Arabidopsis thaliana: one gene and its partner. The protein of the gene in region 2 interacts with the protein of the main gene of each other region in a biochemical or structural test. Each region holds a gene or a part of one and is shown on either strand. Other genes may lie near its edges.

The links.
Region 1: the proteins of MYBL2 (region 2) and EGL3 form a complex in vitro, tested with the Arabidopsis thaliana proteins (one study listed by BioGRID).

The regions. Positions count from the first base shown.
Region 1 is NC_003070.9:23,597,261-23,603,676, reverse strand, and holds EGL3 (basic helix-loop-helix (bHLH) DNA-binding superfamily protein), read right to left. Parts: upstream 4,265-6,416; 5' UTR 4,027-4,264; exon of another isoform or gene 3,874-4,026; 5' UTR 3,869-3,873; coding exon 3,750-3,868; intron 3,562-3,749; coding exon 3,289-3,561; intron 2,741-3,288; coding exon 2,644-2,740; intron 2,539-2,643; coding exon 2,467-2,538; intron 2,385-2,466; coding exon 1,647-2,384; intron 1,526-1,646; coding exon 1,106-1,525; intron 1,015-1,105; coding exon 943-1,014; 3' UTR 513-942; downstream 1-512. UniProt on the Arabidopsis thaliana protein: Transcription activator, when associated with MYB75/PAP1, MYB90/PAP2 or TT2. Involved in epidermal cell fate specification. Negatively regulates stomata formation but promotes trichome formation.
Region 2 is NC_003070.9:26,794,534-26,798,717, forward strand, and holds MYBL2 (MYB-like 2), read right to left. Parts: upstream 1,997-4,184; 5' UTR 1,694-1,996; coding exon 1,654-1,693; exon of another isoform or gene 1,484-1,653; coding exon 1,357-1,483; intron 1,271-1,356; coding exon 850-1,270; 3' UTR 519-849; downstream 1-518. Other genes in the region: LPR2 (Cupredoxin superfamily protein), read right to left, coding at 2,668-2,721, 2,803-3,132, 3,203-4,184.

The DNA of each region.
Region 1 (6,416 bases), 3.2 Mb from region 2:
GGTTTACACACTATATACCGAGGCTAATACATGATATAAACCTCAACTTCACCAATTCATGGATCTTCTTAATGGCCACCTACCATGCCAACCAACCCATTAAAGAATTTCCACTCTTTTTAAGTTTCGTTCTAAATCAAGAAATTGTTCAACACAATTTCTAACCCCACATTATGTGTATTTTCAATAAAGTTAACCTCTTACTAAAATGAGAGTGTTACTTTGATGCTACCAAACGAAATCCAAATACAGTATAGTCCTTGTGCTTACAATTTTCTTCCTTTCTTTTTGAAATAAAAAGTTAATGTTAAAATGGTAACACATGTTGAAGTGAGATCTCAGTGGCGTTAGATGCAATTATTTGAAATGACATTACTTCTTTTCTCTATAAGGCAGTGTATTTTGCGAACACTTTTATCAGCTTTTGACCACCATTTCTATCTTTAACTTTTCTAAAAATATTTTTTTAATTTCTTACATAACTTTTCTAAAAACATATAAAGAATATTTGAAGTGAGATTGAAGACTTAAGATACTGGAATCGGGCTATGTAGTATCTCTTTAGATTTTACTATAATGTTTTTGGTCGAACTTGAACTAGTCACAAAATATGATCTCGTTACAAATACTTATACAAAAGTTACTTTCAACAACAAAAAAAAAGTTCTAGTTTACTTACTTTTAAAAATGATAGTGCACGAACTACTACGAGTGGTTTTCATATTTCGCATAATTGAATTTCATAGTATGCTAATTGCTAAGTAAGTAATTTCTTATTGTCTTCTCCTACGTAATGAGCCAAAAGGAACGATTTTTCAAGAATTCTTAAGGATCTTCCAAAACTTCAAAATCACAAAAACTCGGTTAGAATCACTGATTACCGAAAATTGGGAAACCAAACCAGAGAAAAAGCTAATTTTGTCAAATCTAAACCTTGAATCCTTAACATATCCATGCAACCCTTTGAAGTGCCTCTTGGATCATTCCTGTTGTTGCTATTTTTGTCCCTTTATGCTGCAATCAACATTAAACATTACATATCACATTTCGGTTTGCTCATATTCCGGTTGAGTAACATAAATCAAGCTTGGTTTAATGACTGTACCTTGCAATTGACAGTTAAGCAGAGTAAACCGTCTCCGGTTGACGACTGAACCGAGTGAGAATCCAAGTTGAGATCACTAATCACATCCATTATCTCAAGCAATATCCCTTCTCTCCAAGCGCATCTAAGCTCAATAACCACCTCGTTACCTAATGAACTGATCCTTAAGTTATCCGTTAGACCAGCATAACCGATATCAGCTGGTTCATCTTCTCCTACATTCACATCACTCCCCTTCCTTTTGCTGTTCATACAATTCGCTGATGCTCTTTCCTCCTCATCATCCGGTTTCTTCCTCTTCATCATCGTTATCCGTGTCTCTGTATCAGCAGATTCTCTACAAGATTCCAACTCTTGAACCCGTTTCTGTAAATCTTGAAGATACTCAATTGTATCATCAAGAATCGACACTTTATCAATCTGTAGAATCAGCAAGAGACTCAAGCTTAGTTCCTTCAGAGCATTATATTTAAACATGTCTTCCTATTATCAAGAAATAAACATAAAACGTTACTGAAACAGATTTGCTAGAATCGGTTACCTTACTAATTGAGGGAATGATTGATCTCAATGTCATAAACCGTTCATTCAATTTCTCGCGGCGTTTCTTCTCGGACAAGGCATGGTTCCCGGTTTCCTCTGGTGTGTCCGGTAACAACTCTTCTTTCTTGTTCATCAAAGGAACCTCGAAGAGTATCTTCTTTATCATCTTCTGCGATTTCTCTCCCAATGTTTTCACAGATGATGATCGCTTCCACCTTGTGAAGCTAGACCGCTTATCGAAGTTCTGAAACTGCGGTCCGAGTATTAGCTGATGCGTTGTTTTGAAAATCGTCGATATCACGCCTTGGTAATGAACATCGTCGTCCATATTTACATGGTTACTCTGTTCTTGAATCTGACCTAACCGTTGAATCCTACTCTTCCTTGGATCGCAAGCAAGTCTCCCGGTTGTTCCAACAAACGTTTGGGAAACGCAATCGCTTGAATTTAACGATTGGTGAATGCAGTTACTGATTTCTTCACCCACAAACTGCCAGCTTTGTACCTGAGACGCACCACCATCGTTGATGAACGAATCATGATCCTCAGGTTCTTGCTCAAACCCGCTAGTAGAAGTTGTTGGAAAAGCTTCGGTTATAAACACCGGAGTGTATTTATCGTCACTTAAGGGATCAAAAATTTCTTGATAGTCTGATCTTGTCGATATTGTAGTATATGGAGGAGCTTCAAGGAACAACGTCTTAACACTTTGTATCACGTTCATGTCCTCTTTAATCTAAAAGAACAAAAGATAAGTTTTGGGTACTTTTAAGAATGTTTTGATAGTGTTGGAAAAAAAATAGGAAATATAGGCTTACATGTTCGGTCGTGCCAATCTCAAGGACTCCTCCAAGAAACGGGAAGCAAACCACTGTCTGAAGCGAAGCACTCTTTAAAGAGCAAAACGCCAAACGAAAAAAAAAAAAAAAAAGAGCGTTTTCAGTTATAGCGTTCTTGAATTCTAGCGTTAGCGTTTCCAATTGCAAAAAACTTACTTTAGCTAGAAGAGAACGAGTGAAGACTTTGCTATCGGCGGTTTCAGCGTTACAAAGCCATATTGGTTCTCCATTGGATAACGCTCCTCCGGGGATTCTACATTAGAAAGACGGAAATACCCTTTATGTTTTGTATCTCAAAATCTTTATCTTAATGGGAACAAAAGTTTTCTACTACTTTCTTTGAATAGCAAATGTATAATGCAATTATGCAAATGAAGTAAAAACTTATTTCCGTTGTGCTTTCGCATTTCTATCTATGTATGTCTTCTAAGATTAAAAAGAGGTATACTTTAAAAAAACCTACAAACATAAAAAAAATTAAGTAAATATAAAGGATAATTGCATTGTTAATAATTAAACTCGTACATGTCGGATTTCTGAATAAGCTCACATGGAAGAAGAAATGAAGGAGACAAGCTAATAAAGGGTGTTCTTGTCTTTTTTTATGAGACAAAATAAAACATACCCTTATACTTTTTTTTTAGAATTTTGGTATCGTTTACATTTTCTTATAATGTCTACGAATAAAATAATACTATAATTTAAAAACGATATTCTTCATAAAAGAAATTTTTCTGAAAGATAGGTTTTTGTTTTTAAAAAAGGTGAAATGAAAGGATTATGAGGAAGAGACGGAATTACCCTTCACCGATGTTGAAGACGAAAGACATGCATACTAAGTAGTACCACTCGGTGTCGGTGAGGTCCTCCGGTGAGAGAGCGGCGGCGGAAGCTCGTCTAGTGACCTGAGAGCTACCGGAAGCTGAGGATTCAGCGAGGGAGAGAGATTCATAAAGCTCTCTAAGCTGCTCACTTCTCTCAAGACCTAACTGGTCAATTTTGACTTCTGCTGCTTGAATCGTCTTCCTTGTCTTTATGTCTCCATTGTAATATCCATCTCCCCACTCCAACACTCTTCGTTTAGAGAAAACAAAAAAGATAGCCAAGAAAAATTGGATTAATCGAGAAAACATAACAAAAATCGAAATCTTGAAGTAAGGATAAAGTTTTATCTGAGTTTTGGACTAAAGTCAAGAATGTCTCAAACAAAACTTTATTTTCAAGAAAAGTTAATTTGAAGGATAAAGATTACGAGATTGTACCCTGGTTGAGAAGCAGAGACAGACCAGAAGATTCCATAACTCCATTGAATGTTTCGAACTGAAACTGCGAGCTGTTTCTTTAGATTGTCCGGCACCGTTCTGTTTTCTCCGGTTGCCATTGTTTCTTCATCCCCATGTAACAAACAAACGAACAAACAAAGATCAGATTTTTTGTCAAAAACAAAACTTTGTTGTCTTTGAATAAATCAAAAGAGAAACAGAAAAAAAGCAGAAGTGATTTAAAGGTTATGACTAGTCATGAGTTAGTGATTTTTACATGACATTGGTTTGGTTTCCTGAGGAAGAAAGAAGAAGACAACAAAACCCAGAATATATTTATTTTTTTTAACCTTCTATAATGGGAAAATATTAAATATTTGTGACTTTCAAGTTACTATCTGTTGTGGTTGAATTGAGCTTTGAGTTGAGAGAAAAGGACGGTGTCCGAATGACCAAATCTCTTTATGGATACTTATTTTAGGTGTGTGTACACTGTATATAATCACAAAACACTGAACTTTACGAGGAATTTTAAATAAATATATATAAAACAAGATGGTAAAAAAAAAAAAAAGTAGTGTCTAGTGTATAACCCTTTTGAATACGGTGTTCCAAGCACCACTCTCCTTTTGGAAATTTATTTTTGTTAAGAGAAATTAGTTATTTTTCCATCTCTAAAATCTTTTTTCTATCAATGATATGTCCTATTCTCTACGTTTCATGATAAACGATGTTCTGAAGAAATTTGTTTGTTTCACAATATAAAATATTTTCAAGTTTTTATGTAAATTATAGATTAATTTAATATTGTATACATATTTATATTATGCATCAGCTTTTATAATCTGCTGAATTTTTTAAAAAATATTTTTTAATTTTTATATTTTTAATTAAAACATCTTATATTTTGATTTTTTAATTTTTATATTTTTATTTAAAACATCTTATATTTTGAAACGGAGGAAATAACTTTTTTTAGTAACTCATAATATAGGTCTTTAGACTTTAAGCAGAGTTTGAACCAAAAAAAAAATTCATAGGCATAACACTTACAAATCCAACCAAACCAATTTGCCACCCTTATAAGCAATGTTTATATGTTACTGCCTTACTGGTCAAATATATACACAAATATTAACTTGATTTTAAGATAGAACAAATCCTAATGGTGAAACACGAAGAAAGACATGAAATTAATGTTATGCCTCGAGGAGATACCCTGGAGAGAGAGACAAGCTTCTAGTATTGACTAAATTACGTTGTATGGTTTAACTAAAATATAATATATACTATGTTCATTGAATATATATATTCTACATTGTTTTCGAATCTTCGGAAATACCATAGAACATTTGTATAATTGCTAATTAATTTTCTATGCACCTTCATTTTAATTAATCGCAACCTCGTAAATTATTTGTATTAAAGATGCGTACACGAGCCAATTATATATGGAGTTAGACAATAAGGTTATCAAGAACGAGTGAATTTGGGATCTAAAGATAATGTAAGGTTTAGTATTCTTCCTTGACTTCAATTCTAAGGTAAGGGATTGATAATGGGTTTAGCTATGTAACAACCTATGTTGATCAAAATCACGAGAAAATGATATTTAAATGAGATGATTAATAAAGAAGAAACCAAGAGTCATTATTATCATATGCTATGTGCATGCTCTTAATTAATTCTTCGCATCTCCCAAAATTATCACCCCTAACTAGGACTACTTGTCGTGTCTGTACGTTGAAAAACGGAGTCAGATATTGTTTATTTCATGTACTAACTGTATGATTCATAAAACATAATAACCTGATAAATGAAGATTTGTACATTTATATCAACGTGAACGTCTGTGTTTTCAGTAATTTCTTAAATAGTTTTTCTTTGCTGATTATTTTTTTCGTTACTTTCCTAAAAGATATGTCATCTAGTTACACTGTGGTCATCGTGAACACACGCAAACATTAGATTCTGTAGCCTATAGTCTCCGGCTCTCAGCTCAAAAAGGGTCATTTTGACTTTTGCTTAATATATATAATTTGACTATAAAAATGTAGTGAAATACTACAATTCTGGACAGTACTTCTAATGCATTGGACAAAAAACAAAAAAACAAAAAAACAAACTAAATATACACCTCATTTTGTTACACATATGACATATTAACCATTAGCTAGTACACAACTAATAAATCTTTCATTATAATATCTAACGCCGCAGATGATGATGCATTGTTTTATCGAGACTGAAAATATAAATAAATTCTTCACACAATAGAAATAAAAACAAAATATTGAAAAAGTAAAATGAAAGAGATGCTCGCATTAATTGCACGGAACAGAGTCTACTGTTGATAAAAAAAAAAAAGAGTGATCGAACAGTCCATTTTTTGGGGTCCAGTTTATTTAATTTAGCATTAATAACTTTGTCAGCGCGAGCCACTCTCTATGATTTTGATTCCATCATAAATTATAAAACCAACCAAAATTCATATCTAAATTAATTCCTTTAACCCATTCAATAAGCTTTGCTTATAATTCTGAGACCTGTATAAATTCGAATTATTGAAAGTGCCTAAGAATTCAGAGTCACTTTGAATGGGACCTCTCACGTAATGCCTGTATGTTGGATCTTCTGTCATTGTCTTATATATATTGTCTTTTTCCA
Region 2 (4,184 bases):
CAATATGAAAGTGAAGGTGAGATCAGAGTTTATACAGTTGTGGAAACAACTTCTTTGATGGTTGTAGATCCCGCAATCGTAGAAACAACCTTAATGATGATTGTAGTTTCGATGATAAATATTGGTCCATTTTCTTAGCAAACAATCTCCTCTTCTATACTTGTCAAACATTCATATTCTTTGGTCATGCAATTTTGTTTAATATTTGATGATGTTTGAATAGCGGTTGTACAAATGTATTTACTTTCTAATTTTTATTTTAAGCATGTATGAAGATACTTTAAACAAATTCATTGTGAGTTTTGTTCAAAATATATGTGAACGTGTTTGTACTAGTTGGTGCATATTTGACCGTATAGTCTCCATGCTTAAGACATCCTTAAATCGATACATTTCATTATTTTATAAGTTAACTAATTTGCTTCCTTTATATCTTTAGTAAGTAATTTTCGTATTTATAGATTCCTTTGTGCGAAACGAGAGTTTGAAATTGCTTTTGAATAAAGAGTAAAGTGTAGTTTGGAGGAAAATGAACATACTTGTCCATTTTAAGAGAGTTAATTAATACTTCCCGTCAATGTGCACCGTTAACATTGCTGTATTAGCTATAATTTCTTACAGCTTGATTGATCAAATAAGCAGCGGTTATCGTCGGTTAGTTATTAACGATCTACTATAATACTAATCACTGAAAACAGAACCGGACATTTAAGAGAATAGTTGTTCAATGACCAGCCGGTCCAATTCAGGATTAACATATTTCAAACATCGTTATACCATCTCTCTAGTGAATATTATAATATGTGCATTTGTAATATAACAAATGTGTACAAACAAATACACCATTTCTCATCGGAATAGAAGAAGCGTTTCTTGACCTGTTGAACCATTGGTAGAGGATTCGCTAGAGTCCTGAAGGCAAAGAGCTGGCAAAGAAGTCACGGCCGGGATGAGACCAATGTTTAGGTCAGGCAAATGACTTCGTCCGGTACTAGTACTATCCTCCGAGCAATTGGTACTTGGAATGGGCAAAATTGTTACACCACATGATTCGGATACCGAAGAAGATTGATCACTAATAATCTTGGTTTCATGTTCCTTATGTGAAGAATGGAGGTGACGTCTAGAAATGTAGTTGGTGTGATGGTGGAGACGATGATTGGTTGGGTCGATTCCCATTTTTACGAGCTTCCTTTTTAGGTAAGTTTCCCAATGGATCCTAACTTCGTTGTCGGTTCGTCCTGGCAATCTTCCCGCTATCAATGACCATCTGAAAAAACATAACATCAAAATGATTATTAGCACGTACCGTTCACATTACTATTGAATTAAAGAATAAGAAGAATGAATACGAACCTATTGCCAAGAAGTGCATGAAGCTTGAGGATGAGATCGTCTTCATCTTTTGAGAAGTTGCGTTGTTTAACTTCTGGCCTTACGTAGTTTCGACCTCTCAATCGACATCTCTTACGGTGTTGCATACCTAAGAGAAGGGATCAAAATTTAACAAATTAAAACGATATATCGTCACAAAGTCACGTATGTACACATGTATATCTATGAATTCTACATCGACCTCTTTAAACTATGAATAATTTGGTGATGTGAATAGCAAAACACATGATTAATACTGTTTAAAGAGAAAATAGTTACCGGAAGGTGGGGAGAGAGCACGAAGGCGGGTTTTGTTCATGTCTTTTTCAAAGTGAGATTGGTTGAGTTATGTCTTTTTTTAAAACTGTTGATAGATTGTGAGGTGGTTTGCGAGAAGAAACTGATATATAGGATTAGGGGATGGCTTGAGGAGGTTTGACTTGGACTGGTGGGTTGAGAGAAGCGTGCATGCTCAATCAAACTATTAATGAACGAGGAAGAACAAGAAGAATACATCAACCTTGTTAATTGGTCCCACATTTAGGAGTTGAAACAAATAAAAATTGGTCCCATATTTGTTCAAATCCATTAGAATTTGTGGAATCATGAATGTGGAAGTGTGTCGCATTTAATTTGCCTTACCAATACCAATCCAAATCTCGCTCTTATCCACATTTTCGTAAAATATATGTACGGCTCCGATAGATACCTTTTGTGAAATATCAAAGATGTGTGTGTGGTATCAATAATAGATTCACTAAAATATATATTAAGCAAGAAGAAGACGAAGAAGATATTTGACTAGTGGCTCAAAATTATTTGGATGCATTATTTGATAAAATATCTGAAGCTTCCGAATATGACATGAAAATAAACAAATTAAGAGAAAATAGGAAACCATGAAATTAAAGAGTGTAGGTTCAGGAACAGATAAGGGAGAAACATGGGAGCATTCAATTGAATTTGACTGGTGGTTAGGACTTTGTATACGAGGAATTTTCTAATTTCACTCACCACTTCCCTATCTCACTTACCATCTACTCCAAAATCATATAAGAAGCAAAAGAGTTTTGTTATTGGGCCCGTTAAAGCCCGTAACTGTTAAAAGCCCATTAACAAGCTGCTTCTAATCTCCGAGGCCAAGTGAAAAACAATGATAGAGATATAACATCAATCCAATCGAATTATCTTTTAACACTTTCTGTATAAGATATTTATGTAATCTGAAATCTCAATCTATATCAACTCGTTTGTATTCTGCACTCGTAATTGTAAATTGTTTTCGTTTTAGAATTATAGCACCATTGCAAAGGGCCTCATCATCATATTGTCTTCATGGTCCAATATCTGCAATGCCAATATCATACAGTTAGTTCTAAAAGAAAAAGCTAAATTCGTCATCAACTTTTTAGTATTTTACCAACTTACGTGACAGTGGTAAACATAGCCTGGCTCTTGAGTTGCGTCAAAGGAGTAAGATTCGTTTGAGTGAATGTAAGAAAATCTAACGAGTATCTTCGTTACATGTCCCGGCATCATCTTGAATACGTTTTTCCATCCCCGCTCGTGTACCGTAACCGCGGTCTTGTTCCCTCGTGCGTATTTGCTAATCTCACACTTGACGGCATCGTTTCTTTTAGTCATGCACTCTATGAACTCCTCACTCTTCACCAATGCCGTTTGCTCCAATACTTTAAACAATCCCAAGTGAATGTGCAACGGATGGTTATCCTCGGTTAAGTTTATCACTTCCCACACCTTCATTATTGTAAGCATTAAAGATTTGAACTATACGGTTAGTGAATAGTGAAATTTTGGTTATAAATACCTCGCTTGTGCCGATTTTTGGAGTTTCGGTTACGGGAGCGTTGTAAGGCAGACCGTTGATGTATAGATGTGTTGGCTCGTCAATGCTTGACACATACTCGAACATAGCAATGTAACGTGTACGTGTGGAGGTTGATACATGAGCAGGAGGGTATTCAATTAGCTTCTTCGGAATAATCGACGTGTCAACTTCTGATTTGTAGTTGATTATAAACTTCATGACTTTGCTGTTCTCTTCCGTGACGGGATCTCCCGACGGGTAAGGATAAGGTGCATTGTTGGCAAGAATTGCCGTTTTCGATGTTGACTTTGAAAAGTCAACGAGTACGTCGACAATCTCCGACGGAGCTAGGAGAACAGATTTGGTCGATACTGGTTTCGCTAGATAAGCGGAATCGGAACCAACGACAATGAAGTCGAGACCGTTGGAGAAGAAGAACCGGAAGAACCTTGCGTTACTAGCGTTTGTGATTCGAAATCTATATTTCCGGCGGCGGACGGTTAATCTCGGCCATGCTTTACCGTTCACAATGATGGCGTCGCCGAAATACTCTGGCTGCCATTGTGGATGAATCGTTGGATTGTTCCCTGTAGCGTTCATGTAAATGGAACCATCTTTACGAAAAGATCGGTCAAAGATGACCAAAGGACGATCGAATTCGCGTCCGGTAGGTAACCGAAGAGGCGATTCGACTGAGCTATGACGGAGAATGTAAGAGCCTAACAAACCGGCAAGAAGGTTGACTCTGGTCAACCCTGCCGCGTGGTCATGGTACCACATGTTTCCAGGTTGTTGCTTGTTGACGTAATGTGTAGTCTTTTTGGTCCATTTGGAACCAGTTTCTTTGAAACCAGCGGTGAACCATGAATCTGCATTTCCATCGCTAGTTGGTTCGTGGATACCTCCGTGCAAGTGAACCACCGTGGGAATGCCGCCGTGTTTAGGGATTGCCGGAGAGATTGTTGGGTCCCAAGGGAGGATA